Caenorhabditis elegans: one gene and its partners. The protein of the gene in region 1 interacts with the protein of each later gene in a pairwise test. Each region holds a gene or a part of one and is shown in the gene's direction. Other genes may lie near its edges. The genes, in order: pas-6, kel-8, vab-23 and F09E5.7.

Region 1 (6,558 bases):
ATGCCAAACCCGTGTTCCTAACAGAATACAAACCCTTCCCATCGACACCAACTTGACCGTTGTTTTTGGTTTTTTGAAACGAGAATTCAATAAGGATTTAAAATTGGTTTCTGTTAGTTTTTTTTTGGAAAATCTAGTTAAAAGTTAACCCTTTCATGATATGAACACTTTATCACTGTTTTTCTGTTTTTCAGAATGAATCTTGCAAGGGTCAAAAGCTAAATTGGATATGCAATCTCGGTTAAAAAACCATAAAGTTTCCGATTTATCGGTTTCAAAAAATAATTTTTATTGAAAAAAGTATGGTATCCGTGATGAAACTTACCAAATGTAGATACATAAATTTCAAAGTTTTGTTTTCTAATGAGAATATAATAGGGATTAAAAATCGAAAAACTAGAATCCTATTTCTTATTTGCTTTTTCAGATGAATTAGTTAAAAGTTAACTTTATCAAGATTAAATTAAATTAAATTAAAAGATCCGAGATTTTACAACGTAGCTGTGAACTCGAAGACCTACTCGAATTTCACTTCAGCATCTCCATATTGACATGGAATTTCCATTTCAATTGCAGCAGTCTGTGGAAGAATCATTGGTTCGCCGCCAGCCAGTAGAAAATTGTTGTCTGAATTGTTATGATTAGTTGAAATCAACTGGTACTTTTACCCAATTAAAAAGTTAATAATAAATTTTTTTTTTAATGTTTAAATGATTTTTTGAAAATAGGAAAATGAGCCAATTAAAAATACTCCTATTCAAACATTGTAGGGGTTCGGACATGCGACAGCGATATAGTTTTCTCAAAAAGTGGCAAAATCTAAGTGATTGCCACTTTTTGCATGTCAATGAAAAAATCTAAAAAATTTTTTGGAACGTTTTACTATGATATTTGGCCATTTTGGCATCATATGAGCGTTAGGATTTTTTTTAAATACAGAATTTTCAAACTAACATCAACCAAAACTTTTGCTGAAATTTTCAAATTTTTCAATCTTTTTGGAATGTTTCAATTGATTTTTAGAAACAATTTGTTCCTCTTACCTGGTGTGAAACTCAATGGACTTCCAGAGTCAAATCTTTGCGAGTCAAAATTATTATCTGAGTTTAACTTTGATTTCCAGAATCTAAAAATAGTAATTTTTGAAATTCTATTAAAATTGAAAAAAAAAACTTCATGTCAGTGTCCGCTGCATTATGCCATCCACAATATTCCATATCATCGTCAAAATGACATGTAAGCTTTCCACCGTCGGATACAGTTAGCATTGGTTTCACAGGAAATGGGGTAAGAGATGAGATCGAACGAATTTCAGTTGCGGAGTACGGTAGATTTGATGTGAGGTAGTCAAAGTCAATTGCATTTTCACTTGTACGTTGTAGGGATGAGACTCCGCGAGCTCTGGCTCTTCGAGATGAAAATTGACTGTACTGAGAGCTCAGGGAGTGACAAGCAAAACTGGTATCTGAATTAATTTGAAGGTCATATCTAGCTAAACTTTTGATTTGAATTACCGCGCTTTTGTCTCTAAACCACACCTATTTTTCTGTGCCGCACTTTGCATTTTTACATTTTAGACGCAAAATGGTTCTAATCCGTGTTCCAATTTTCAATATAGAAAAAGCCCTACAAAATGAGCGATTTTTCTAAAATCCCAAAAATTAAATTTTAAATTTTGAATAACCTCAAGAGCGACCATTAACAAATTTTCATGATTTTTTAAATAAAAAAGGACAGAAAAAATTTGGTAGAAAAAAAGATTTCAAATCCAAAACTTTTTAAAAACTCACTCAAACCATAAAGTAGCAATATCAAGACATATATATTAAGTACCATACTTCATGAAGAAAATAGTTTGAAAACATATAAATTTCGATTTCAAATCGCCTTTCTCAAAGTTCAATGAGCGTGTGGTATTGCGTACTCCCGAGAATGAATATGAACTACTGGTAAATTGCCTAATTAGGTACGGTGTTTCACTGTCGAGAGTCACAAGAGAAAGTGGGTCAGTGGGTAAGAAAAGTGAATGAGAGGAAAGATATTTATTATTCAATAGACATGATTGAAAAATGAAACTAGAGATTTTCAAAGACAGAGCTTTGTAGTATAGCCTTGCCAGATTTAAACAGGAATTTCTAAGATATTGAAGTCAGGGAATCGGCCACCACCATCAGTAGACAACATTTTAAATTTTAAATATTCAATTCCTCAAAAATTAGATTCAAAATTTAATTCGACGTTTTCAATCACGTTTTCGCAATTTTCGTTCAATTTCGTGTAATATTTACTTGTTCACAGTTCTCTTCGTGGATTTTGAGTGTCTTTTTTTCGAAATTATTTTGAGGATCTTACGCAGTTTTCACCAGAAGAATTACATAATTCCATGGAATTCCATGCCTGGAAATTTCTTTCACTTTTTGCCGCCAGGTATACGGTAAGCAATTGCGCGTAAAGTGTGGTGTATGCGTACTCGCTTATTTTGTCATCCTTTCAAATTTAGAACTCATTTCAGAGGTTTTCTTTCGACTTCTAAATATTTTTTCTTTGTTTCTGTGGATTTAAATAAACTCCATATGTTTTTCTAACTCTTGGTTCATCTTGAATCACACTCTCTGCTTATAAAACTGCAAAAAATGGCTAAAAACTTCAATAAATTGTAATTAAGAGCTTTTAGGTTTGAACCATGTTCCGCAACCAATACGACGGCGATGTAACAGTCTGGAGCCCACAGGGACGTCTTCACCAAGTCGAATATGCCGTTGAGGCGATGAAGCAAGGTTCGGCAACTGTTGGAATCAAGAGTGAAACCCACGCTGTCATCGTCGCCCTGAAGGTTGGCGAAACAACATGTTAATTTCAATTAATTATATTCGTTTCAGAGAGCGCAAAACGATTTGTCGTCTCATCAGAAGAAAGTGTACGAAATTGACACTCACGCTGGAGTTTCCATCGCTGGTCTCCTCTCCGATGGTCGCATCTTGGCTCGCTACCTCCAAACCGAGTGCTCGAGTTGGCGTTGGGATTACAAGCAAGCGGTTCCAATCAAGAAGCTCGCTGAATCTATGCAATTGAGTAAGCGAATTTTGGAAGCAATTTTCTCAAGACATTGTTCTTATTTCAGAACTTCAAGCCAATACACAATATTATGGCCGTCGTCCATTCGGAGTTGGAATTCTGATTGCCGGATATGACGTAAGAACATCATAAATATAATTGTTCTTTTAAATATTTTTTTGTTCAGAAAGATGGAGCACACATCATTCAAACTGACCCATCTGCTGAAGTCGTCAGCATGCATGGAACTTCAATCGGAGCAAGATCTCAGTCTGCGCGCACTTACCTCGAGAGAAATGTTGATAACTTCGAGAAATGTATTTATTTCGGAATATAATTGATAAAATTGAGCAATTTCTTTTTTCAGCAACTCCGGAACAATTGATTGTCCATGCTCTCCTTGCTCTTCGCGACACACTTCCAGCCGAAGAAAACCTCAACGCTCAGAATACGTCTATTGGAATTGTCGGGAAAGATTCTCCATTCAGTCTTCTCGAAGATGCTCAAGTCGCCGTTCATCTCAACCAAGTTTCCACACATCCACGCACAACTGGCGGAGCAGCAGCAGCAGCAGCTCCAGGTGGCGCCGAACCAATGCAAATGTAGATTCTAATTTGAATCACAGACCATGTGAATTACTTTCGTCTCCATTTCTTTTTTATGTGACCCGTATAATTTATCGCCGGTTAATCTCCCTCTCGTTCCCGAATTAAATTATTTTCCTGCTCCAAAAGATTGATTACATATTAATTTCCTTTTTCCGTTCAACAGTCATGTATATGTTGCAGAAAGAACATTAAAGGAAGCACTTCTCGTCATTCGCGTCCATGCCTTCTGTCCATTAATGATGGATGTCTGCGCCGTAGTACACCACGCACCCGCCGTCTTCCGCTATTCCCCGGCGAGCTGCTCCACGGCATTATTCCATAGTTCTTCTCTTCAGTGTTCCATACACTACTACATCACTCAAATTGTAAATCAGCGAAGAAAGGGGAGCAAAAGAAGAAGAAGGGGAGGAGTGTGTGTGATGCAAGAGAGAAGAGTTTCAAATTTCGTCGAATTGAGATTGAAATCTTCTTTGTCGCAGTCAACTCTTTTCTTCGACCCACTTCTGCCTTTTTTTGTTTTTCGATTGGAGCTCTTGACAATTTTTATACATTTTTCTTCATTTAAAAATCCACAAATAGGTAAAAAAGGGAAGTAGGATTTACGGATCTACTGGAAGTTGTTTTTCTAACAAGCGGTTTTGCTTATTATGATCACGAGCAAAACCAAAAATGTTTCCCAAGCGAACCACAATCAATGCCCGACACCATTGTGTGTGCCGCTTCTGAATGAACTGAATAGAATTCTCTCGTTTCTTCCACCAATTCTTCTTTCATTCCTTGTGCCATTTGTCTGACAAGCGAAGAGAGAAAAGAAGAGCGCCCTTAAATGAATTTGTATCGAGCCAATGGCATCGGAGGGCCATGCGGCTCTGTGTGGCGTGCGTTTCCTCACTTCAAGCACTGCCGCCACCAGCACCAGCACACAATGTTCTTTTCGGCAGGAGGCGAGGTCTATTCAGCACTTTTTCTTCACTTTTAGACCAAGTTTTCGAACACTTTTGCACCGAGTGCACACATTGATTCGTGGAAATGATTTTTTTATCCTTGAAATTGTTTTTCTGAAGAAAATATATCCTGTAAATTTAAAAGTTCAAGTGTTTATTTAAAAATAGTCAATTTAATTTTGGAAAATAAATTTTTTTTAACTGCAAATAAGCTTGTTCGGTCGACTTATAGGCTGATTTACTCATAAAAATTTCAATTCAATGGAAAATATTATTCATTTTTACTTAGACGTCTAAAAAAATACATTTTATTTTTCTTTTATTATATTTAAATTTATTCAAAACATGGTGCAATAGAAGCACGAGCTACAGTAAGTTGCACAGTATGCCGGAAATTGTTTTCTTTAGACGTCTATTATTTTTTCGTGAACAGTCAAACCCCGCTTTAAAGGCACACGATCTTTTTCTGAGTGGGTCTCGACACGATCTCAGCTATAGTGATCACAACAAGTTCCAAATTTCACAAAATTGCTGGTCTTACTTTACGAGCATACTTCACGGGCAAATTTGAGCCAAATAGAAAATTTCTGATTCCCAAAAACAATTTAATATGCCCTTATTATGTAGATGTTTATAAATGGGCATTTCTGTCGAGGGTTTCGCCACGAGAACAGCGAGTATAACTGTATTATGCAATAGTGGCTCATAAATCGACACGAGCTACAGTAACTCCTTGCCCGCGTGGTGAGACCTTGCGCGTAAGATATGGCGAAAATTATCATTTACAGACGTCTACGTAATACATGCTGAACCAAAATATTGTTCGATATTTGACACTAGAGATAAATAACCGTTTTTAACTATAACAAACAGGCCTAAACTTTGATTTTTTGGTAGAAATATATATGCTTTATACATGCACCTCGTAATAAAATGCTATTTCCTGAACTTTTCAAACTCTTTAACTCCTTCTTCTGTTCATCATAAATCTAAACTGAAAAGTTTAAGACACTAATCCTGGAGCCGAATACGAAAAAGTGCTCGTGGAAGCTTTCAAGCTGGATACCATCATGAATTTGGCCGGTTCTACTATTCAGGCATATCGCCAGTAAGTTATATTTTTAATTTGAAATGAGAATTGGAATTTAGAGTGTTGAATCATTTTCTTATCACATGCATTACTCATCAAAAAATGTTTGAAAGTTATTTCCGCTAGGGCTGTAACAAAAAATGTACAGTACATTCTAAGCGGATACCCTAATTTTCAAAAAATTTCAATTTGCATCTACCGTAAAATAAAAATAAAAATCGAAATCTACTTTCCTAGTCCTCTAATTCAAAATTGCAAGATCTTATGACAAGTTTTCAGAAATAGTGAATATATGAATCAAAACTCTTTGCCCAAATTCTAATAATTCATGAGAAGTTTATGTTAATATGTTTTATTTTTTGGTTTTTATATTTTCTGAAATCCCACCTTTCTCTTGAGAAACAAAGCAATTTCGATACTTTTTTGCATATGAAGCTAAACAAATCCTAGATGTATTCTTCATAAAAACTCAGGTGTCCAAACATTGCAATTAACTATGAAAGGATGCATCTTTCCAATTGTTTCGCAATTCTTTCTCGCCTCCGTCTCTTGCTCTCTCATTTCCTCCATGTTGGACGGACGATCAATAGTTTCTATGTTGTCTCTAATATTTCTATGATCTCTCATCAGTGGCTGCGCACGTCTCGCTGTCTATTCGCCGACACGACGAGAGCGGGCTTTCGGTTAATACAACCAAACACTCTTTCCGAACAACGTTATGTTTTACTTGTCCACACTTTATTAGCATCTTTATGTTCAGAACCATTTCTTATGAGCTTTTGCAGGAGAGAAATTATTAGAAAGTTAAAATTTGGTTTCATTTCTGCTTATATTGCGAAATTTGTACCTATAGTGTTGCACA
Region 2 (7,908 bases), 2.9 Mb from region 1:
TCCAATACCCCATCAAAAGCTAAAAATTCAAATTTTCCCAAACTACAGTAACCCTACCATATACCTACAGTGCCCCTACAGTCCCCCTACAGTACCTTGTACCATGGCATTATCCCAAACCAATTCCCAACCCAATACTTCTTCAAAAGCTGAAAATTCAAAATTTCCCAAACTACAGCAACCCTACCTTATACCTAAAGTATCACTACCGTATACCTACAGTAGCCCTACAGTACCATGGCATTATCCCAAACCAATTCCCAACCCAATACTTCTTCAAAAGCTGAAAATTCAAAATTTCCCAAACTACAGCAACCCTACCTTATACCTAAAGTATCACTACAGTACCCCTACAGTGCCACTACAGTACCCTGACATTATCCCCCACCAACTCCCAACCCAATACCTCTTCAAAAGCTGAAAATTCAAATTTTCCCAAAATACAGTAACCCTACCGTATACCTACAGTACCCCTACAGTACCTTGACATTATCCCCCACCAACACCCAACCCAATTCCTCTTCAAAAGTTGAAAATTCCAATTTTTAAAGTTACAGTAACTCTACCGTATACCTACAGTACTCCTAGAGTATCACTACAGTACCTAGACTTTATCCCCCACCAACTTCCAGAGAGTTTAAAAATCAGAGATCAAAAGTCAAACTACATAGAGACGATGTTACGTGGTGTCAGAATGTCGCATTTCGGTTTGATCTCCGAGAATTGCGGGAATTTAGATGCAGACTTCTTAGCAGAAAAATGAGCTAAAAGTGTTGTCAATTCTGAGGGCATAGCCAACCATTTTGACTCCGACATTTCACGTACCCCATCATAAAAGTCAAAAATTTCAGCTCAACAACGGTTTCCGGCGACAAAACCGGATTCGCGCTCGACATTCAAGCCTCTCAAGTGACGCTTGTCTTTACCAGCGACTTGACCAACACGTTCCGCGGATTCCTGATCCGATACGACAGTGTGCCGGTAGGATCCGTGTACATGCCAACCAACTTGTGCTCGAGCATCCTGCACAACAGTGAATTCGATATTATCACCTCGCCAAATTTCCCGTACAACTACCCGGATAACATATCATGCGCGTTCCTGATCAAAGTCTCTGCTGATCGTTTGTAAGTTTTTACCTGAGTAGATCAAATTAGCATGACGTTTTTGATCTGTAGATGACGTCAAAAAAGCAAGTCATCATTTTGATAAGGTTGTATTTATGACACATAGGGTCAAAATTTGTCTACGCAGCTTTTTCGTTTAAAAAAGTCATAAAAGTCTAGGTAGTTTTCAACAACAAGAACAATTATTTATGCTCAAATTTCAAAATGGTCACGGTTACGAAAAGTGTGCTCCCCGTGCACTACTCGAAATTTCAAATAAGATGATGAAATATGACCACATAATCCTTGATAGTGAGTTCATAAAAAGTGACATTTTCAGGATCTCCTTCCAATTTGTCGCCTTCAACACAGAGGACGGATACGATGTAGTGTCCGTGTACGATGGAGCGAACACTTCCGCACCGCTTATTGGACAGTAAGTTAGACAGGGGGTAGGGGTAGGTAGGCGAGAGGTCGACCTAAAGCGGACTAAGGTAGGCAGGCGATCTGAAACCTAGTCTCAATAAAAAGCCGTAATTGGATCTAACTAAAGCAGAAAAACAGAAAACTCCATAGTTTTTATGACTACCTACCAATATTGCTATATTTCATATCAAATATCATACTCTAGAGTAATCCTACAGTACTCCTACAGTACCCCGACCATATCCCCCACTGACCCTAAACCAATATCCCTTCAAAAGACAAAATTCAATTTTTCCTAAACTACAGTAATCCTACAGTACTCCTGCAGTACCTCTACCGTACTACTACAGTACTACTACAGTACCCCTACAGTACTACTACAGTACCCCGACCATATCTCCCACTGACCCTAAACCAACATACCTTCAAAAGACAAAAACTGAACTTTGCCTAAACTACAGTAATTCTACAGTAATCCTACAGTACCTCTACAGTACCCCGACCTTATCCCCCACTGACCCTGAACCAATACCCCTTCAAAAGACAAAAACTCAATTTTGCCTAAACTACAGAAATTCTACAGTACCCGACCATATCCCCCACTGACCCTAAACCAATATCCCTTCAAAAGACAAAAACTCAAGTGTTCCTAAACTACAGTAATCCTACAATACTCCTACAGTACCCCGACCATATCCCCCACTGATCTTAATCCAAGGATACTATAAAATAACCATTTTTTCAGTTATTCCGGAAAGAATATGCCAGCTCCAATAACATCGACGAGCAACACTTTGTACCTGTGCTTCTCCTCAGACTTGGTCACCAATTTCTCGGGATTCTCCGGTCTGTATACCTCATTTGTCTCGAACAACTTCAAGCGCGGAGTACTACCACAGGTGAGAAAAGATCTAGGCCGGCTTGGAAGCAGGCAGGCATTTTTGTGCCTAGGTACCTAGGGCTTCACTAAAAACTAATCTTTCAGTCCCTGACAACGGATTCAGTGGCGATTCGTCGTGACAAGAACATTCTCGACTGGCTCAAAAAGAAGGCCGAGGAGAAGAAGCTTATTGGAGCTGCTGCAGCACCGGTTATCTCTATCTAGTAGTCCCCCGAAATTCTCAATATGTAATGAATTATTATTTCTTCGCAATTATTTTTTGCCGCTTACTGTATGAAAGTGAAAGGAAAATTAGAAAATTAGTGATGGGGGGGGGGGGGGGGTGATAAGAGAAATCTGGGTTGAAGGGGGAGGGGTAGGGCGATAAAAAGGGAAATTTTAGGAGGAAGAGAAGCTGGTTTTTAAAAAATAAAATTTTTGTTCTATGCCCGGACGCGGGAAAAATTTCACATTGATCTACAGTAGATCATCATCACGGGCTTCTAGTAGCGGTTTTTCGCGCTCCATTGAAAATCGGTGAGCGGAAATTGCAGTTCGGCAAAGGAAGGTTTCAAATTCGGCAATTTGCCATTTTGCCGATTTGCCGGAAATTTTGAATTCCGGCAAATTTCACGATTAGCCGGAAATTTTCAACTCCGGCAATTTGCCAGTTTGCCGATTTGCCGGAAATTTTCAATTCCGGCAACTCCCCGATTTGCCGGAAATTGTCAATTCCGGCGAGTTCCCGATTTGCCGGAAATTTTCTATTCCGCCAGTTTGCCGATGTGCAGGAAATTTTCAATTATGGCAATTTGCCGATTTGCCGGAAATTTTAAATTCCGGCAAATTTGCCAGTTTGTCCTAAATTGTCAATTCCGGCGATTTCTTGATTTGCCGGACATTTTCATTTCCGGTAATGTGCCAATTTGCCGAAAATTTTAAATTCCGGCATTTTGCCGATTTGCCGAAAATTTTCAATTCCGGCAAAAATCGACCCCAGCCGTGGCCGAGTCAAAATGGCCTGAATATAATCAAATGTGCTCCAACGCACCAGCCGACTGTGACGGACATTATTCAGGGCTTGACCTACAGAAATCGTTTGACCTACTGGCGCCTCATTATAAACTCATATGACGTCACAAATTTCAATAATTTCCCGCGCTTTCTGGAGGTCAAAGTGCCCATCCTCAACAAAACATCCCGTTCAGGGTCCTATCCCCAAGTCTCCAGACCCTAAAGCCTACAATCATAAAGCTTGTCACTAAATAATTGCCATGTTTTTGTCTGCCAATCAACTGACTGTCCCCCTCCTGCTGTGGTATATTCAGAAGATACCAGAAGCTGTAACAAAAGACGCAGGACGTACAAGACAGGTTGAGAGAGACACTGTGGGGGCGCAGACACACACAAAAAAATCAGGGGGCGGGAAGTGAATCGAGAGAGGAAGAAGCTGGCATCTAGAATACCAGACTGACAGGCGACACACACCACGAAAAAAAAACATGTGGACCTTCAACAGATCTACCGCGGAGGCGCCAACTATGCCGTCAAGCTCTAATACGGTAGGTGGTAACTATTTTACTTTTTCTGGAATTTCATTTTGTAAGCTACCACGGATTTCTGGCTTCCCTCTCATAAATTGAAATGGAAGAGTTTGCCAAACTAGGCCATTTTGGCTCGGCCATAAGTGGGGTAGATTTACGGCGCGTTGCGTGTCGCGTCGCGGCTCGATTTTAGTTGTAAAACTAAGTCTATTTGTCCGTGTGGAGTACACGATTTTAACACGCGTTGTCCGCCGGGCGATTGTCAATGGAGCGCGAAAAATTCTCTGAGGAAAGACAGAACCCCGTGATTTTGGCCTAAAAATCATTAAAACAGGAAAATTGCCGAAATAACGGGGTTCTACCCTTCCTCATTGAATTTTTTGCGCTCCATTGATAATCGTCCGAAGGAAAACGCGTGGGTAAATCGTGTACTCCACACGGACAAATGCATTTAGTTTTACAACTAAAATCGAGCCGCGGCGCGACACTCAACTCGCCGTAAATCTACCCCAGTAATGGCCGAGCCAAAATGGCCTAGTTTGGCAAACTCTTCCATTTCAATTTATGAGGGTAATCAGAAATTCGTCATTTTGGCCTAAAAACACCAATTTGGCCTAAAAACATTAAAACCACGGGAAATTTGAAACAGGAAAAAAATGGCAAAAAATTCTTGGAAACCGGCGAAATCGGCATAACTAATCCAAAACGTTCGAATGTACTATTTTGCCGCCAAACACCTAGCGGGTCATGGTGCGGGGGCCGAGAATTTCCTATTGGCAGTGGAGCGCGTTTCCACGTGGATTTTTCTGCGTACCCATAATAGCCGCGTCACACAGTTAGTCACCCAATTTACTACCTAATTGCATGGCCTTTGTGTCGGAACTCGTTTTTTTCGTAATGTCGCAACACATGGTACATAGATAAAAATCTCGAGATAACCTATAGTTCAGTTCAAATGTGAAGCAAATTTACTGGTGAATCGGGAAAAAACTGGTAAATTGTTCGGGATATATACTTATTATACATCAAAAATTGCTCGAAAAATTGTGAATTTCAGCTTTTTTTTCAGGAAATATATATTTTCTAGAAGAAGAATACCGGAAAAAGGTGCGGGTCATTTTGCACGCCATCACGAAATTTTCGCAAATTCCAGCGTTTCCGTCAAAATAGTAAATGTATATTCAAAATTTTTTCATCTAATTATCAAGTGAGGCTGCTCTTTTCAAGTTTCGCTGTAAAGAACCGCCTCTTTTTCGTAGTTTGTTTCACATAAAGTGGTGGTGACTCTGCAATTAAAGGTGTGCAAACGCGCTCTGTGGTTACGTGCAAGAGAGAAGAGATTTAGAGAAGTTGGAGGGAATATTAATTGTTTTTTTTTGTTTTTAATTGTTTTTATGTGTTTTTTTCGCATTTTTCGTTGATTTTTCGTTAAAAAACTTCAAAAACAATAATTTTCATTCAAAAATTTCAATTTTTCCAGAAAAAATCACTGAAAATGGCAGATAACGACAGAAAACGAAAGCATAACCGATGGAATCAAAAGTGAGAGCTAAAATTTGAGAAAAAAAAACTATTCTAAGACAATTTCAGAGTTAAACAAAAATCTGTGGAAGCCGGAGTGACCGGACTATTCTTTTCCTGCGAAGGCCACGAAAAGCAGGCCCTACAAGAAGCCTACAGTATTATTGACGAGCTTCTCGAAGACCCGGCGAATGGAATCTCTCTTAAAGCACCAGAAGCTGCTCCACAAGGCTCAGAAGCACCCGGAAATCCAGCAGAAGCTGAAGATTCCGATGAAGACATTGCCGATGCGTTGAAAAAGGCTTGTGATGATCAGAGGCAGCCGAAGCCGGGAAATTTCGTGAAAAAAGAGAGAAGATGCATTCAAAGACCGACGGGAGTGAAGAATTGCATTTTTGTGAGCGTGAAAAACGCGAATATTCAACTTTTAGCCGAAAAAATGGTCGAGCTGACGCAAAAAGCTCCGCGTTGCAGGTTTTTGCAACGAGTTTACCCGGTGGAGCATACTTTAGCTGTGGATCTTTCAAAAATGAATGAAGTTTTGATGAAGGTGCTTTTATTTAATTAAATTAATTAATAAAATAAAAAAAAGTAATTTTTCAGGTAATCTCCGACACATTGAAGGCAGACGGCACTGGCAAACTTCCCACGTATTCCGTGGAATTTAAAGCGAGAAATAACGATTCTGTGGCGAAGAATTCCGTGCTCCAAATGGTCGATGACGCCGTTTGTGCGCTGGCTCCGACTGCGAGAGTTAGCCTAAATCGTTAGTGTCTCTAAAAATCTGAAAAAATTTCAAAAAAATCAAAAAATCAATGATTCCAGACGCCGACGTCACATTCTTCGTTCAAGTATCTCGTACGACAATTATGGTTGGCGTGTGCCGGCAATTTTACGACCGCCGAAAGTATAGTCTTCGTGCGACGCCGGCAGCGGCAGCGACATAAGTCTCTTCTTCGACCTTTTTCCCCCTTTCACCCAGCGCCTCATTGGCTCAGTGGCAGAGCGTCTGTCTAGTAAACAGAAGGTCGCTGGTTCGATTCCAGCATGAGGCACCGAATTTTTTTTGTTTTTTTCATTTGTTCTGTTAAAATACTTTGGCTATTTATTTGTTAAAATACATGAAATTTGAGATTCGATTGTTAATTATTTTTTAAATGCATGGTATCTATAACTGTGACGTGTCAAAAACTCAGGTCGACCCTTGCTCGCGCGCGTCTCATGCACAACCGAGCAAGAAAAAAAACGTGCAACCAACCCGAAAATCTAGCTCACCCGTTCTGCGCACTCCCCAAAATCAACACTATTTCGCTCTCTCGCAGCTCTTCCAAATTGTCAAACAAACCGAGTAGTTACACGCACCCCCCGCCGAAACTCGGGAGCATTCAATCTGGCCTGGTTTTCCAGTATGCTGAAATTTTTTGGACTATTGTAAATTGTTTGTGAAAAAGGTCTCGCCACGAACGAAATATTTTTACAATAATCATTTGTGTGAAATGCTGTGCGTCTTTTTACCCGTTTATTGCAATTTTCACATGGTGTCAGGTTGTCCCATAACGGTTTGATCTACAAAAAATGCGGGATTTTTTCCACCAAAAAATGTGACGCCATCTGCACGTTCTTAACCATGCAAAATCAATTGAGAAGTCTGCGTCCAAATTCCCGCATTTTTGTAGATCAAACCGTTATGGGGCATTCTGACACCACGTGATTTTTCTGAAATTCTCTTAATTTTACGCCAAAAATACGGTACCCTGGTCTCGACACGACAAATTTCTGTCAAATGCGAATAGGTGTGCGCTTTTAAGGAGTACTGTAGTTTGGAACTTTCGTTGCTGCCGGATTTTCGTCGATTTTTATAGCTTTTCGATAAAAATTCAACTACAAAAAACCTATAAAAAACGATTACAACCCCGCCGCCGCATTGAAATTTTAAAACTACAGAACTCTTTCGCATTCAACAAAAATTTGTCGTGCCGAGACCAGGGCACAGTATTCTTGGCGCAAAAATTACAAAATGTCGGTTTTGGGTAATATTCTGCAGACTGAAATTTTGGCGCATGCATAACATAGTTGACGCGCAAAATATATCTCGTAGCGAAAACTACAGTAACCCCTTAAATGACTACTGTAGCGCTGGTGTGTCGATTTACGGGCTCCATTTCCGAGTCTATAGAATATTAAAATCCAGTAGATTTTTTTCGAAAAGAAAATCATTTTAAAAAATCGAGCCCGTAAATCGACACAAGCGCTACAGTAGTCATTTAAAGAGTTACTGTAGTTTTCGCTAAGAGATGTTTTGCGCGTCAAATATGCTGCGCAGTACGCATTCTCAGAATTTTGTGTTCCCGTAATATCATCACGGCCCGAGAACTGGTACTCTTAAAAACGACACCTTCATTTTATGAAATTTGAAAAACAAAATGATCGA
Region 3 (9,402 bases), on another chromosome or scaffold:
AATTCAGACCAAAGTTTTAGGGGCTCAAATTTGTGCGATCCCCTACATATGAAGCTGAGCTTCTTTCAAAAAAAAAAAAGGTTCCAGGCTACGGTCACATATCCAAAGCTAAATTTTTTTGCATACAATAAATTCTCGAAGTCCTATATTTGTATAAAAAAGCTATACCTTATAGTCTTTGTAGAGTAGAGTTTCTAGCTTGCTTTAATAGACTCAAAGTGGTCCCAAAAACCTTTTTTAAATCTATTCAAACTCCCCAACCAGACCAATCTAATCCCAATCAACCTAGTTCAACCAAAAACATGAATTAGAAAATTAGAAATTCATCTCCCACCACCACCGTTCCAATCATTCCTAATTTGTTATTCCTCATTGCATTTTACTCATAGTCACTACTATTCTCGAAAGAAAGCTACGCCCCTCCTCCTTCTTTCTTCTCTACCGTATACCCGCTCCCTTCTCTCTCAGTTGTCCATTTTCGGTTGGGAAGGAGACACGCTTGCATCGTTTAACACAAACAGAGACACGAAGACATCGATTTTCAAGTTTTTGTTCAAAGTTAAACATGAAAACAACCCTTTTTTTCGTTTCGTACTTTTTTCCTGACACCTACATAGTAATAAACATTGTGACAGATATGATGTCACTGTTGTAAAACTGTTGTGAGCTCAAAATATTGCTCAATAATCGTAAATACATTGTATAACGGTAGCAGATGCCACGTGGCAGTATATTCCCTTGTCACCTTGTAAACAGCTCCAGTATGAGCTCAGAGAATTGTAGTCCTGCAGAAATAGGTTAAATATGGGAATATATGGTTTATCCTTATTTCTTGTTTCAGCAAAAACTTATAAATGTTAGTAGCTTCACCATCTAGGAGCTTGCTTCATAGAATTTTAGCGAGAATGTTTAAAATTATTGATTTTTACTCGATTAATTCTTCGCAAGTTTGATTCGTTTAAATATGAATTTTTTTCACTTGAGATTTTGTATGTTGTAAGGCTTTGTCAAATTTTCAAAATTTTGAACTTTTCGAGAAATTCTGAGCATTGCTGCTGGCTTGAACCTGTAGAATGTTTGAATACAATATAAAAATGGGAGAATAAATTTTTTGTCAATTTCCAAAACTATGATAGGGCAAAACTAGTTTTCCTCACTTTTTGAATACTAGTGTTAAAGTTTTTAAATAGTTTTTGAATCGCCAAATACGTTTCATCTCGCGAGTTGCAATTCTACAAAATGAGCCAGTATGGTATGTTCTCCCAATATTTTTATAGAAAGTTCGCTGTAAAATATGGTAAAATATGTGCTTAATCTTAAAATAATAACTATTTGACTTGGAAAATCTGAAAAAATGCACAAAAATTATCTGAAAGTTGACTTTTTTCCGATAATTTGTCAGAATTTTTCATCTAACTTTCAGACAATTTTCGAGCATTTCTATATAGAAATGCCCTAGATCTATGTTGTTCCAAGTCATTTGAAGATAATTTTCAGACTGAGCAAATATTATATTTTCCACAAAATTTTGATGAAAACATTGAGAGAACATGCCAAACTGCTGCGCACCCCTGATCTAGCTCCCCCAGATTTCCTCCACTTCAAAAAAAGCTCCCTGTCATCAGGAACTGACAAATCCTGACAGTTCTACCAACAAGTACTTCCCCTCTTGCACTTCCTCAAATCCCGATCACAATTAGCACGCAGGTGTTCGCATGACACCTCTAAGACACCTGAACGTGATCGATGGGGTCTTTTGACGCACATACCGCCACCCCACAAAAAGTGTCTTCTCCGCAACATTTGATCGATTATTTCTTCTTCTTGTAAGAAGAGGAAATAAGATGTGTTTTGATAGTGGTCCGAAGGAATGGGCCTAGATTGATTTACGAGCACTTTGAGGGCAGACGCCTTACTCTAATTGCATATCTCGCGGAAGGAGGGTGGAGTTTACACAATTCATTCACATTTACATTTCATCACATTCATGTTCGCTTTTCAAGGGTTACAACCTTGAGGACACTGCTTTTAGATAAGGAACACGAGATGGAGAAAGTTTTGGATTCGAATGTGTCCTACTGTAACATAATCCTTCGAGAGTGCTTGTTGATAAGATATTGAAACTTAAAGCTTAAAGCCACGTGGGAGAAGCAACAAGGTTTTGGAACTCTGTAGGTTTCCTTTTTAGATGTTCTGGGCTTAACTTTGAGCTAGCTAAATAGGTTTTGGTTCTAGCTCATGAATATTTTCATACATTTTAAGTTTTGTAGATGCTAAGTTTTTTTTAGCCTATGCCATTTTTTCCATTTTTAGCATGTGCTTTTCCGCTTCCTTGAGCTCTGTTGCTTATAAACTAAAAAGTACCAAAATATAGAGGATCTGCCACGTGGCATCTACTAGATGGATTTATGATTATTGAGCAATGTATTGGGCTCACAACAGTTTTACAATGACGATATGATATCTGTCACTTGGGCTTCTATGGTAGACAGAGGCGATATCATGGCGATATCAGGAACAACATTATTACGTCCCTAAGTAAGGATTTATGTTGAGTATTGATTTAATCAACTAGCACCTTTATTATTTGTGTATTCAATTAGTGCAATAAAAATAATAACTCACTGCTACCTGTCAAAATCAAGATAAAAGGTCTCTGTAACCGGTTAAAAGGTTAGATCTATAAATGACAGCGCATCTTTTCTATTTGTTTGTTGGCACTATTAATTTATAAACGTTAATGTTATAGTTAAGAAAGTGGATAAGATTACAGAACTATTCTACAATGATTTTGGGGTTATTTGCTAAATCCTTGTTAATTCTTAAATCCCATTGACATTTCCTACATGGATTTAGGAGCCTCTACATCCTTCCTCCTCATGTATATCCGACCCCGCCCACATTCTTATTGGTTGCCGTCCGGCTCTTCTCCGTTTCCCATACGTTCTTCCTCTTCAATTTTTACACTTTCCTTTTGCTGTCTTTTTTCTTCCATTTTTGACAATCGTTGTGCTTCTTCTCCAAAACTTTTACGATCTCCGTTTATAGATTCGACGCGCATCGATGACCGCCACGACAGTTTCGCCGATTTTGGGCGCCGAATCAATCTTGTCGATGAGCGAGCTGCATAAAGTTGCAAATGCAAAGTGAGTTCAAGTCTTTAAATGCTGCAAACTAAAATTTAATACTACTAGATTTAAAAAAAAACGGTAAAAATGCCCAGCAGCGTCGTGTTTTCTCTATTAGTTTTGCGCCATCATTTTTCAACTTGGACAGTGCATATTTCGATAATCTTCTATTTAATCAAGTTAGTTCCTACTGATAAATTTGTTTTAAAGTTTTTCGCTATATTTTATCTGTTGAACAATTGTTGATACCACCAAAAACAGCCAAGATAAAAGTTATGTATTAAAGAACGACAGTGACATACGGTAAATTATATTTGAATTAAAAAGGGGTTTCCAGGATTTTTAAAATCTGAATCAAAAACTATTATATCAACTTTGAAAGTAGTTTTTTTTTTTCGTTGCAAAACCCACATGTACCTTTAATATATGTACTAAAACTTTGACAACACTTTTTGCTATTTGCTTGAGGTTCTTGATAACCTTGCTTTAAGAGAAATTGGTCAAAGTTTGCACCATGTTCGGATTGGAGGGTGGCTGGGGTGAAGCCCTCTATTATAAGATGCATACCGATCCCTCAGAGGAAGCGGCTTAAATACAATAAATGTAGGCGGAGAAACAATAAGATAACAAAAGAATGTCGTGGGAGGATTCTAAATAATAACAAAGCTCAATATTGCGATATCAATCAGACAATAAACAATATCTGTCCTGGCGGAAGGGCAAAGAGTGCGATATCTCGCACATCAAGTTCCAGCCAACTTTTAGGCTAGGCTTCACTAAAAATCATGTAACCCGTAAGCGCGGCAATTTTTTGAAGTTCCCCGCGCCAAAGGTCACTCCCCTTCTTGCATAACTTTTTAAGTATGTACTAGTCGGTCACTTCAAAGTGATTTCGCGCCTTCCTCCACACGGAAATGTCCTTACAGGAAAAAAAACACAGAGGCTAATTGGATTTGTTGCGACCTTTTGCGTAACATCATACCGTAATCCCCCACACACATAGAAGAAGGAATTAGGGAATTAGCATAAAAATATAGGAAATTGAGATGATTTGGTAGTAGCACTTGAGAAAAGAGCCGCCAGGTGTACACAAGTGTCGGTAGGCTTTTTAAGGTTACTTGTAGTAGTTTTATATTATGGGGATGAGCTTTATTGTGGGAGTGGGGTCTTCGGGCTCCCACCAATCAGCAACTTTGACTACACCCCTTGCGCGTCGCTAATTGGTTGGCTGACTCTTTCAATTAAATTTCAAATTCTTAATTTAAAAAATAAAAACTTTGAGCATGATAAGGGGGTATCTAAAACATTCACGCTTCTACAGTACTCCCCAAACACCTTCTAGTATACAATATTTGCTTACATGAAGATACCCACACACACACATACATACATACAATTCACATCCGGTGTTTGTCATGTTTGTGTGGTTGTGGTGTGCCTGATTAAAAGCCATCTCTCTTTCCATCATGTCCTTTTGCTATCCAAGCGTGACTTTATGACCATCTTCTCGCCTCAATTTCGAATTTTGTGCCGCTTCAATTCACCGTGTAGAGTTGAGTGAAGGGGGCTTGGGATGGGAATGTAGCAGAAATGGTTTGGGAAAACTTTTTAAATGCGATATTTTATCGTGACATTTTTGGAAATCGATATTTAAATAGATTAGAAAAGGTTCGCCAATTGTAATTTCGGCAAATTGTGGTTTTGCACAACATTTTTTGAAATTTCAGAATTTTAATTTTAATCGGCAAAATTGTACGTATCCTATGAATGTTCCTACATCTATTTTGAAAAGTAAAAATTCTATGAAAATATCTAAAGAAAACGGGAAGAAATTTTCAAAAAGGCAGTGTTTCCGTCTTATAAAAAAATCCTCTGAACATTTCCGGCAAACTAATAACCGGCAAATCGGCAAACCTGGCTTTTTGCCGATTTGCTGAATTTGTCGACAAAAAAAATTTCCGAACGGAAATTGCCGCCCACCCCTGATTCAAACATTGAAGCCAGCACTTGTTGTCCTCGGTTTTTCCGAAAAATTTTACACTGACAAAAAATTTAATCTGGTTTTTTCTACAGTTAATTTCTAATTAATATATTCAAAAAATTTAAGCTTCCACAGTAAAGCAAAGCATGATTTCCAGAACAAAAGTCGATGACTACTTTGCAAAACGAAATGAGTTGCTCGAGGAGCTCAGCGAGCTGGAGAATACTGAAAAGTTTATCAAGGAAACTGCCAAGACTATTGACGAGTTGAATAAAGAGAAGGAAGAGCATTCGGAGATTATTCAGTTGATAAACCAGGTAAGAAATAGTTTTTTAAAAATAATTTTTGAGAGCTTGCAAACTTTGACAAGCTGTCAACTTTTTTCTAGAAATCTAAAAATCTACAAGCTCATAGGAATATATTTTTTTAAGCATTGATAGATAAATTTTGCCGCCTCTACAACAAATCTGCAAAGAACAGTGCAACACACAACTTTTTCAGGACAAAAGCGATTTGGAACGGGAAATTGCTGCGGCAGAGACGGAGAAAAAAGATCGAGAGAGCAAAATTGTTAAAAGATACGAAGCACTGCTGAAATTAATTGAGTCCACAAATGAGAAGCTTAAGGAAACTGGATGTGATATTGCTTTGAGCCAAGATGATCTACCACAGACTCATTTGAAAATGTAGGTTTTTTTTCTTGAGGAGCTAGAGTCAGAATTTCTTCTACAGTAAAGTGAAAACTTCAAATATGAACTTTTCTAAAGTATTACAGGCACCAGATTAAAAGAATCATGTTATTATATTTCAGTGAACCCCCAGCAGCTCCAGTCACTCCGGTTCTATCCGGCGGTCTTCCATCTCCATTTCCAAACTTCAACTTCCGAAATTTGTTCCAACCAATGCTACTTGAACAGCTTGGCAGTTTTTCGACAAATTCACCGACCCCACAGTTCAGGCCACCACCGCATATGGCTGCAGCCATGCAGCATCATCAACTTAAAGTCACCGATCACCAGTCACCGCCAATGAAGGTAGTTAAGAACTTTTTGTAGTAGATTGGGTTACTGTAGGTTGCGTAGTTAGGAAATTGTAAAAACTGGTATTATTGTAAAAATATTAGTTATTTTGGAAAAATGGTTATTATAGAAGTTGAGATACACTATGTATAAAAACTATGGTTAATGTGAAATAAAATAAAAATATTAGGGTGTTCCTACGTGTACTGTAGAAAAAGAGGTATTCTATAGAAAGTTGCTGTGCAAATATATAGACAAAATTATTTCAACTGGAGACGTTTTAAACATATGACAAAACGGTAGTACATGAGAAATGATTTTTCCGGCAAATCGGCGAATTGCCGGAATTGAAATTTCCGGCAAATCGGCAAACCGGCGAATTGACGGCATGAGAAATATCCGGAAAATCGGCAAACCGGCAATTTGCCGATTTGCCGAATTTGTCTAAAAAAAATTGCCGAACGAAGATTGCCCCTCACCCTTGGTACAACCAACTTTATTGTAGTATTGCTCCAGACCCTGTATAGTTTTCCCCAACATTTTCCCCAACAAAAATTCTCGTTTCAGACTTGCCAATCCTGCTACCAACAAATTCACCGAAATGCTCCAATATGCCCAATGTGTAAGAGCAAAAGCCGGAGCAAGAATCCAAAAAAACCAAAGAGAAAGGACGCTTGAAGATTATTTTTCTACCATTTTTTAAAAATTATTTTTTGCAATTACTTTGTGATCTCCCTGAAGACATAAATGAATATTAATGTACATTATTTCCAATTTTTTGATATGTTTTGGGAAAGCCATCTAAATGATGAGTATATAAACATAGAATAGGTGATGAGAATGTCAATTGACAGGTCCTTGAGTACCACGTCCTTTAGATATGTCAATCGAGTTGCAAAATGATGAAACTCATTCTACAATAGTTGTGTCTTGTTTTCCAGCTGCGGAGTGTATATGGGATCAAAATTTTGCTCCAAAAATTTGAGTCTAGAAGATTTTTTAAAATAAACTTCTTTTTTTTTGAGGTCCCACCGGGTCCAGAAATATTAAAAAATACAACATTTAAGATTTTTCTTACTTTGAAATTTTTTGGAATATTTAAAAACGAAATATTAAAAAAACTATTCAAAATTAATTTTCAAAAAGTAATGGCCTAATTTGAAAATGTTCTAGACTCATCGAAAATTGAGAAGTTCTAAAAATTTCAATTCATGATTTTTATATCATTTTCTTACTTTAAAAAAACCCCCATTGAAAAACACGGCTTTGACCAAATTTTAATGGTAGGCAGGCACTGTGCCTATGTGCCTACGTGCCTGCCTACCGCCGCCTTTGCAAAATTGTAGGCGTAGTTAATATGTAGGCAGGCAAGCAATTTTAACTCTAGTAAGTAGGCAGAGATCCCCGATCTCATGTTACATTATTTCCCGATACATTTGAATTGTTTTTAAACTTTTTCCGTGATTCACAGTTTTTCCATTTTTTTTTCCTGAAAGAACTGACTCATGAAAAACACAAGCGCCTTTCCAGAAGATGATCGACAATTGGGGAAAAAATATAGAACAAAAAAGTGGAGCGGAAGCCCATATTTCTTGTCTCTATTTTTTTCAATTTTTCAGTTCTCATGCTAAATTTCCCTATTTTATTGATAGCGATAAATGAACCAAATTTCAATTGGAGGTAGGCACTGTAGGCACCGGTGCCTGCACTGTTCCTATTGGTCTACGTGACTGCCTACCGCCAACTTAATGGATTTTATTGTGAACTCCGATGTTCACTCCTCCTATAAACTCCGATATTTAGATCTCTAGCCAGTTTTTCTGTTTTTTTTCTGATTTTTGGCAAACAATATACATATTATTTTTTTGTGGCTCCTATTTAATTTCAAAAATTTACTTCCAATCAAAATCTGAAATTTATTCAAGTTTTCTAGGTGAAATAAATTCAAAAACCGAGCTATCAGTTATAAATTACAACTGTGATTTTTAGGTGTTTTTAGGTGCTAAACGAACATTTTCAATTCTTATCCACACCTTCCTCACATATTTCTCGGCTCCATAACTCCATCAATATGTCCACGAAGACGCACCTTATTTTTATGCAAATGCTCTCTATGAGCCAATCGTCTTTTATCGGTCACCGCGATTTTATTGTCATATGCAAATTTCTTTTCTATCACCATTTTTTTTCTCGCTTTCCAGTGTGTGTGGCACTTTATTTTGGTATATTTAGATTTTTCATTTAGCCAAGAAAAGTAATGGAAATCACTAAAAATCAGAATTTTTCATTAAGAATGTCTGTGTCGGGCTCAGGATTTTTCTGGGTTTCATTAACTTTTTCCCATCTACAGCTGTTTTTGTTGTGTAAGTGGAGTTGAATTAAATGCCAAAATGTAAAAAATATGTTGTAGGTAGGCATGATAAATGCCTACCTATCATACATAGAACACTTTTTTTGGAGCTAAGTTGAGCCAAGTTTTGAAAACTAGATGACCAGCATCTACCTATTTCATTTGAAATTACCGTCTTATTATAGGTTTTTTTTAAAATTTATATATGTAGATAAACAGAAAAATACTTGACCTTTCTGAAAATAAATTTAGTCTTCATTGAAAGTTCGGAAAAGTTGCTAAAAAAATTGAATCAAAATTCAATGCTCCCAATGAGCTTGAAACTTTTTTTTTACACTATAAATGTCAAAAAACTAGTACCGTACATCAAGGGTGGGCGGCAATTGCCGTTCGGTAAGTTCGGCAGCCGGTTCGCCGCTTTGCCGGAAATTTTTATTTTCCGCAAATTGCCGATTTGCCGTTTGCCGGATATCAGATTTGCCGGAAGATTCTGAAAGGATTTTTTATAAGGCAGAAACATTTAAAACTGTGCCTATTTGAAAGTCTTTTCCCGTTTTCTTTAGACATTTTTATATAATTTGCTTACTTTTCAAAATAGATGTAAAAGCATTCATATGATACGTACAATTTTGTCGATTGAAATTGAAATTCTGAAATTTCCGAAAAAGGACAAATGCCTTTTTTTCATGCAAATTCGGCAAATCAGCAATTTGCCGGTTTGCCGGATTGCCAGAAATTTTCAATTCCGGCAATCTGCCGGTTTGCCGATTTGCCGGAAAATTTCATTTCCGGCAATTTGCCTATTTTCCGATTTTCCGGAAAATTTCAATTCCGGAAATTTGCTGTTTTGCCGATTTGCCGGAAAAATCGTTTGCCGCCCACTCCTGCCGTACATTCGGATGCCATCTGGCGAGTCGCTACTCA
Region 4 (7,229 bases), on another chromosome or scaffold:
CATGGCAAATACTGAAAGATTTTTTGATTTTTATCCAGCTGTATTTCGCCGCACAGTCCTTCGCAATGCGCCGCACGGCTTTTTGCAATGCGCCGCACGCTTCTTCGTATTTATTTATTTATTTTTCCAACAGGAAATTTCGAACGGAATTCAATTAAAAACGGATTTTTAATGGAAATTAATTAGTTTTATTCGAGCTAAATACGGATATTTTCAGAATTTTCGATGACAAAAACGGGTTTCAATCGATTTCGAATCGATCAAAATTAATATTAATCGAAAATGAGCGTTTCCTTCCCGGAAAAAGAAGAACTTGATGCTGAGAGTGATCCAGGCGGAGCCAAACGATTAAAATGATAGAAGTGATTTTTTATTCAGTCGAAATGGAAAATAAAACTGCAAACAAAAGTTAATTCGATTAAATTAAGTAAGAAAAATCATGGCGAAATTTGGATAACCTGAGTATGGAAAATTGTTTCTATAATCTAATGGCACAGAGGTAAACAAAGAGATCAGTGATAGCATTTCGGAATTTCCATAAAAGGGAAAAGTTTCTCATTAAAAGCACTGAAACCGGTATAATTCAAAAACACTGAAGTACAGAAATCGGGGTTTTTGTATAATGGCACAGCGGTTGTTCGATTTCCGGATCGTCTCTTCAAGTCTAGGATCAATGATTTTGATAGTTGAATGGTCTTTTGAATCACTCCTCGCAGGTTTTGATAGTCGTTGTGATGATACATTCTCTGGAAAACAAAACAAATCGATATTATATACCTATTTGAGAACTTAAAAAACTACAAAAAGAAACTTGCCTTCAGCTTGGAAAATTGCTGCTCACTCGGGTTGTTTGTGAACTCTAATCCGTTTCGAACCCTCTCTTTACAGTTCCAAAAATCAACGGGATATCGAGCATCTTCTCCAAAATAGAATTTTTCGAGGTAGCTGAAGAAATCTGAAAAACGAGAATAATTGATTTCATGACAAGATTTTTCAAACCTTTCAATGCTGGATGAATATTAACTGTTCAACATTTCAGAAGACGGAGCCAAAGAAGTACTTTGTCGTGTGGAGCAAAACTGAGAGTATAAATCGATTTTAAAAGATTCACGAATTCCGGCTTATTGATATCGTCTCCAACAGCTGAAATTTTGAATTAGGTTAGCAGCATTAAATATTTAGGTTTACCTTTTCGCAGATTTTTAAAAAGATTCACTTTGAAGTGACGCCAACATCCGAAAATGTCCGCATTCGGCCACACAGCTCTGCTCGCATTAACACTGGCCACTTCAAAGTCTGGATAGGTTGATAAATTTAATAAATATAACCAACGTTTACCTGAAAATACGTATTTTGGTTGGATTCCACTACGTAGGAAAGATAGGAACAAACGTCTGTACAAATCTTCTTTGGCAGAGCCACACAAAGCAAAAACCAATGGAACTGCCACGTTCGTATCGAGATCCTGCAATGTCATTGGTTGACATCAAAATACCTTTCAATTAATACGCACCGTGACTGTTGCGATGTAAAGCTGTCGATAATTTTTCGGAATTTCTGAGAATTTCCCATCCAAATGCAAGCTGTGCGCACCATACAAAGATTCAGCTTCCTCTGCTTGCCACACAACTAGCAAATCCTTATTAGACTCAAACGTTCCAGAACTGTCTAAACAACATTTTCCTCCTTTAAAATAGGCAGAATCGAGGGCTGGTGGAAAACTATTCGTCGATTTCCTACTCAGCATACCGTCCAGTATGCGACTGATTTCTTTCTGGAAAAAGTATATGTTTTATTGATTCCACGATTTATTATTTACGTTGCTCTTGAGAAGTTCAACAACTTCATATCTTTTTGAAAGTGTAACAGCAAGCTCATAAAGGCGTTCTTTTGATGGTGAAGAAGACATTGATGAAACTGCGATTTTTCTCATAATTAATTGCACCTAAAATATAAATTTAGTTTTGAAAAACGTAAATTTCAGTATACTGCAATTTCGCTTCTCCTCGATTCGTGATCACAATCACGACTGACTTTCACATGGCCTGTCTCAGTCTTGATACGCACGGATCCGGGGCACTTTCTCGAGTTTTCCAGTGTAACGTTACATCTGAAATAAATTAATGAAATGTGTGACAATTTTTTCCTAGCGATAATTCACCTAGCCACAATGTCCCCATTTTTCAGTGTTTCTCTCGGACGATAGCTTTGATTGTTGAAAATGACCAATGGAGCTCCTCGTTTCGTCGAAATACTGAAATTGCATAGTTTCTATGTTTAATTGTTTTAGAAGTTAGAAGGCATACCAAAAATCTGAACTATTCTCGCTGATATATTCCGGTGCCATTTCAAGCACCCCTCTTGGGCTATTGGCAATCGGTCTATAGTGCATCAGAGAACGTAACACGTGTGACTTGCTGGAATTTTATATTTTGATAGAGTTATTGATTAATAACAACCTATTTGTCAAAAACCAATCCGGATGGTATGGAGTCTCTTCGTCTTCAAACGGAGATTGATATGAATTGTGACCTAAAAATACAACGTCTGTTATTTCTATTTAATTATTAGTTAAGACCTACACAGAAGATTGAATTCACTTGTTTCCTGTAGATCGTGATCCATTTCTTCGGGAAATACAGCTGGATAAAAATCAAAAAATCTTTCAGTATTTGCCATGGAATCTGTTGTATCCAAGCTTGTTTCCTGAGTAGAATTGGCTATTGAATCGCATTCCGGGATATCGTCAGTGGATCTCGGCTCATCGAGCTCTCGAGAATTTGAAGGAAACTGCATATACGAATCAGACCGACGTGGTGATGCAGGTGGAGTAACCAGATCGATTGTTGCAGGAGTCGATTCACATACATTTGTAGTAGACGCTTTCGGATTTCTTTTCTTCTTTAGATCCCTGTCGAACGCTGAAAAATACTTTTCACTCTTCAATTAATCTTTAGACATCAATACTTGCCTCTAAAAAAGCGTTTGGCTCCGCTTGGATCACTCTCAGCATCAAGTTCTTCTTTTTTCCGGGAAGGAAACGCTCATTTTCGATTAATATTAATTTTGATCGATTCGAAATCGAATGAAACCCGTTTTTGTCATCGAAAATTCTGAAAATATCCGTATTTAGCTCGAATAAAACTAATTAATTTCCATTAAAAATCCGTTTTTAATTGAATTCCGTTCGAAATTTCCTGTTGGAAAAATAAATAAATAAATACGAAGAAGCGTGCGGCGCATTGCAAAAAGCCGTGCGGCGCATTGCGAAGGACTGTGCGGCGGGCTTGCGAAAAGGCGCGCCGCACATTGCCCTACTGAAAGCGTTCCTTACGAAAAAATCCCCTTACGAAAACGTACCCCCTCTAGAAATTTCTTATTTTGTTGTTTCCTTCCTTTTCCGTGTTTAGAACTAAATAATATAGTTTTCAGGTAGAAAATGTCTATAGAAATTGTACAAAAAAGTCTATTCAACATTATTGAAGCCGTTGCCGACGCCGTTACTGCTTCGCAAGCCACAAAAAGGTTGGTAAACCGGAAATTATTGCGAAACTAAATTAATAATGAATTTTTCAGATGTCGACTTGTTGCTGTCAGTAAAACAAAGTCTGCTGATTTAATAGAGGCATGTTATTCTCAAAATCAGCGTCATTTTGGAGAGAATTACGTCCAAGAAGTGAGAGAAAAATCATCAACAAAACTTTTGAAAATGATTCCTTATTGTTCAGCTTGAAGAAAAATCTGATGTTTTGGCGTCAAAATGTTTAGATATTCGTTGGCATTTTATCGGACAAGTGCAATCAAATAAAGTTAGTTCTGATGGAAAATTTACCTTATTTATTAATCATTTAAAAATTTTTAGATTGGAAAAATTTGCAATTCTCCTGGACTTTGGTGTGTTGAAACAGTGGAGACTGAGAAACATGCTCGGATTTTCGACAAGGTGTGTTTAGTGACTATTAATCTATTTTAATTAAATATCTTGAAGGAATGGTCAAAACACGGAGCCAATTTGTCACCACTACGAGTTCTCGTGCAAGTAAATACATCCGGAGAAGATAATAAAGGAGGAATCGAGATTGGAGAAGCACCGAAACTTGCGGAATTCATTCGAAAAGAATGCCAAAACTTGAAATTTGATGGATTCATGACTATCGGATCGTTTGACAACAGGTATATATTTATTTATTGTTACGACTATCCTACTAAAAAGTTGTTCAGTGGCAGGTGAAATGGAAATAGGTGTAAGAAATGATGAAAATGAACGTTTTATATTAATTATTACTTGTAAATAATGATCAAGCTAACAAGCGATAAATTAAATATTTACCATAAAATAAAAGTTCAATTTTACAGCCACGCAAGCGGAGAAAATCCGGATTTCGAGAAGCTCTTCAAAGTCCGACAAACATGGGCAGAACAAACAGGTGAACAGATTTTCTAGAAAAATCAAAGCGAGAACCGTCAGTGGTTGACGTCAAAAAATAAAACTTATGCTTCAAGAAATGTTTTGAAATGTTGGATCCACAAAGTTTCTAAACAAAAACTTGAAAAGTATTGATTTCAGGTGAATCTGCGGATTCAGTAGAACTCTCAATGGGAATGTCCGATGATTTCCTTCAAGCAATTCATCAAGGTGCAACAAGTGTTCGAGTGGGAAGCAAGCTGTTCGGAGCCAGAGAATACAAAAATAAATAGATTTACATTCCATTTTTTAGTTTGTTATTTTTTTAGTATTTAAAGAAAATTCACTATTCAAATTCACTTTTTTTTTAATTACCAGATTCCAATTCAGTTGCTGTTACTGTTTAAATACCTTTCTTTTGAATTGAACTTTTCAGTTCCTTCAGCATTTTTTTCAGTCACAGAATAATGGATAATTTCCGATCGGAAATTCTCAAGGAAACTCGAGAATTAATGCTCAATGAGCAGCAACATGTAGGTTAATTCTTTACTTTTAAGCAAATTAAGCGTGATTCATTCAGGAGGAAAGCATGAAATCTTGGAACGGACCTGAAACGAAAGGATTTGAATTAAAATTCGGAGGCACCAAGCGAGGAGTTCCACAGAACTCTGGAGTAGTTGGTCAGGTTTTCATCAGTGAGGATGGAGGATTTGAAGCAATCATAACTGGATATGTCATAAAAAGTAAGTTTTGAAAATAAAATTGTCAGTTATAATTCGATTTTTCAGACAGTCTCCGTTCCATCGCAGCTTCTTTCACAGTAACTCCTTCGTCTTCTCTGAAATCTGATTTGTCGGAAGGTCTTCATCCACTCGTGCTTGCTATTGGATCAGCTCTTACTCTCAATCATATTTTGATGCTCGGCTCTCTGCGTGACAAAATTCTGAAAAACTTGACACCCAAGAGTGTTGCAAAACTCATTTTATCGAACAAGAAATCTCAGCAAATTCTTACATCTGATGCGGTCGATAACACATTCTGGAAGAAACGTTTAAACAATGATTTTGGAAATGAAACTGTACAAAATACGATCACCACCGGCCGAAAATTCTATGGAATGTATTGCCAGAAAGCAAATGAGTCGAGAACTACAGCGAGAAGAAATGAACCAGTTCGTAATGAAAATCCGCTTATGATCGGTGGACCACGTCATCCTCCTAGACATCCTGTTCATGACCCTTACGGGAATCGTTTTCCTGATCCGGATACTGAGTGAGTTTCCGATTTCTCATTGTCAAATTTAATTTCAATTTTTTTTCCTAAAGGTTGATGCATTCATCTCCGAAATTTCAGATACTACAATCCCCTCGGAGGTTTCTTGCCACCAGGTGTACCACGCGCCGGAAATCCAAACATTCCAGACCTGTTCCGTGGACCTGATCATCCGGATCTCAATCCACTGGGCCCATTAGGACAGCCACGTGGAGGAGGAAGTCACGGAAGACCATTCATGAGAGATCCCAATGGAAGATTCGGTGGAAACGGAGGTGGTGGTGGCTTCGACGGATACATCTGAAAACCATAATTGTTGTATTAAATGTGTATTTTATATTTATTTGAATGCTACTCCGTCAGCTCCATGAGCGTGTTAAAATTAGAAAAGTCTTGTATAGCTTGCAATATTAAAAATGCAAACTACGAAACCAAGATATCTATCAAAATCGGAAAATAGGTTAGAGGGGGTTTATATTTAATATGTATTGAGCATGCTACAAGAAACCAAACACACAAAAGCCTTATAAATTCCAGAAACTCTCACGTCTACATGACTATAAAAGCCTGTCTCAGAAAAGCCTGTCTCAGAAATTTTGTTCGGAAAACGTCCCGGTCAACTTTTTGTTGACAATGTTTTACCCTCTTCCCCCCCTCATACTTAGTCACCGGACTCTTGCGGGTCCAAATGATTATTTTATATCTATTTATTCATTCTTTTTTCCTTCACTTCACTGCTTTGTTGTAATTGTATCATTATGATTGTTGCCTGATGAATAAATATAAATAAATGAAAAAAAGTGAGTCCTGAATGTTTGATAGTACCCAATAAAATGTCAACCATAATTTTTTCAACTAATTCCTTTTCTAGGATGACACAAAACTTCAAGCAAAAAAAGTTGCCACCGCTGGGATTGAACTAGTGGACGTCTGCGTGAACGCCAAAATTTTGAGCCACTTGACCACGGAGGCTTTTTTAATTTATTGGTAGTAAGGACGATGATATTTTAATGACTCCAAATTTAGACGTCCAAAGCTGAAAATGCGCACTCACTACAGTACCCCAAAACACTCGATTTTAAAATATTGGTCAGTTTCAGCCGAAAATTGGTTTCTCAAAGTAAATTGGGATGTTTAGTTCGGAATTTGGATGGAACTCCTGCAGAAAAACGGATGTTTGCGAGTTTCAACGTGCCAATCGTGGGTTACTGTAGCTCCAAAACTAAGACTACAGTATCCCAAAACCCAATTTATTTTTCGAGGGGAACGGGTGCTGCTGAGTTAATTAGTAATAAATAATGTCAATAGTCGAATCATCAAAATGAGTAATAGGGTATTTAGAGTCTTGATTTATATTTTATATGTAGTAAGCATACTACAACAAACCAAAGAACCTCAAGCGCATATTTACAACAATTCCAGAAATTCTCTCACGTCCACATGAATATAAAAATGCGATATTTTTGCTCAAATTATGAGATGTTTGATATACACAGTTTCGGCTCCAAAAAAATATATCTTCACCGAATCTTCGAGTATTTTCTAATTAATA

What was found.
Region 2: the proteins of pas-6 (region 1) and kel-8 interact in a two-hybrid assay, tested with the Caenorhabditis elegans proteins (2 studies listed by BioGRID).
Region 3: the proteins of pas-6 (region 1) and vab-23 interact in a two-hybrid assay, tested with the Caenorhabditis elegans proteins (3 studies listed by BioGRID).
Region 4: the proteins of pas-6 (region 1) and F09E5.7 interact in a two-hybrid assay, tested with the Caenorhabditis elegans proteins (3 studies listed by BioGRID).

What each region holds. Positions count from the first base shown.
Region 1 is NC_003283.11:5,580,460-5,587,017, reverse strand, and holds pas-6 (Proteasome subunit alpha type-1), read left to right. Parts: upstream 1-2,674; 5' UTR 2,675-2,683; coding exon 2,684-2,833; intron 2,834-2,879; coding exon 2,880-3,072; intron 3,073-3,121; coding exon 3,122-3,192; intron 3,193-3,241; coding exon 3,242-3,371; intron 3,372-3,421; coding exon 3,422-3,660; 3' UTR 3,661-3,857; downstream 3,858-6,558. Other genes in the region: CD4.11 (MAM domain-containing protein), read right to left, coding at 522-627, 1,044-1,126, 1,174-1,465, 1,791-1,836. UniProt on the Caenorhabditis elegans protein: The proteasome is a multicatalytic proteinase complex which is characterized by its ability to cleave peptides with Arg, Phe, Tyr, Leu, and Glu adjacent to the leaving group at neutral or slightly basic pH.
Region 2 is NC_003283.11:2,667,550-2,675,457, forward strand, and holds the start of kel-8 (BTB domain-containing protein), read left to right. Parts: upstream 1-3,914; coding exon 3,915-3,974; intron 3,975-5,436; exon of another isoform or gene 5,437-5,451; coding exon of another isoform or gene 5,452-5,498; intron 5,499-5,546; coding exon of another isoform or gene 5,547-6,027; intron 6,028-6,080; coding exon of another isoform or gene 6,081-6,243; intron 6,244-6,302; coding exon of another isoform or gene 6,303-6,424; exon of another isoform or gene 6,425-6,618; intron 6,619-7,908. Other genes in the region: W02G9.4 (CUB domain-containing protein), read left to right, coding at 852-1,127, 1,447-1,542, 2,278-2,431, 2,518-2,637; thum-1 (THUMP domain-containing protein), read left to right, coding at 5,452-5,498, 5,547-6,027, 6,081-6,243, 6,303-6,424. UniProt on the Caenorhabditis elegans protein: Substrate-specific adapter of a BCR (BTB-CUL3-RBX1) E3 ubiquitin ligase complex that regulates degradation of glutamate receptors in neurons. The BCR(kel-8) ubiquitin ligase complex mediates ubiquitination and subsequent degradation of rpy-1.
Region 3 is NC_003280.10:11,894,857-11,904,258, reverse strand, and holds vab-23 (C4H2-type domain-containing protein), read left to right. Parts: upstream 1-3,048; 5' UTR 3,049-3,063; coding exon 3,064-3,146; intron 3,147-5,255; coding exon of another isoform or gene 5,256-5,266; coding exon 5,267-5,426; intron 5,427-5,610; coding exon 5,611-5,795; intron 5,796-5,920; coding exon 5,921-6,143; coding exon of another isoform or gene 6,144-6,164; exon of another isoform or gene 6,165-6,695; coding exon 6,696-6,806; 3' UTR 6,807-6,894; downstream 6,895-9,402.
Region 4 is NC_003280.10:5,347,237-5,354,465, forward strand, and holds F09E5.7 (PI31_Prot_N domain-containing protein), read left to right. Parts: upstream 1-4,850; 5' UTR 4,851-4,872; coding exon 4,873-4,938; intron 4,939-4,985; coding exon 4,986-5,148; intron 5,149-5,193; coding exon 5,194-5,677; intron 5,678-5,758; coding exon 5,759-5,981; 3' UTR 5,982-6,523; downstream 6,524-7,229. Other genes in the region: F09E5.8 (Pyridoxal phosphate homeostasis protein), read left to right, coding at 3,440-3,525, 3,577-3,676, 3,729-3,809, 3,863-3,943, 3,989-4,173, 4,357-4,427, 4,568-4,698.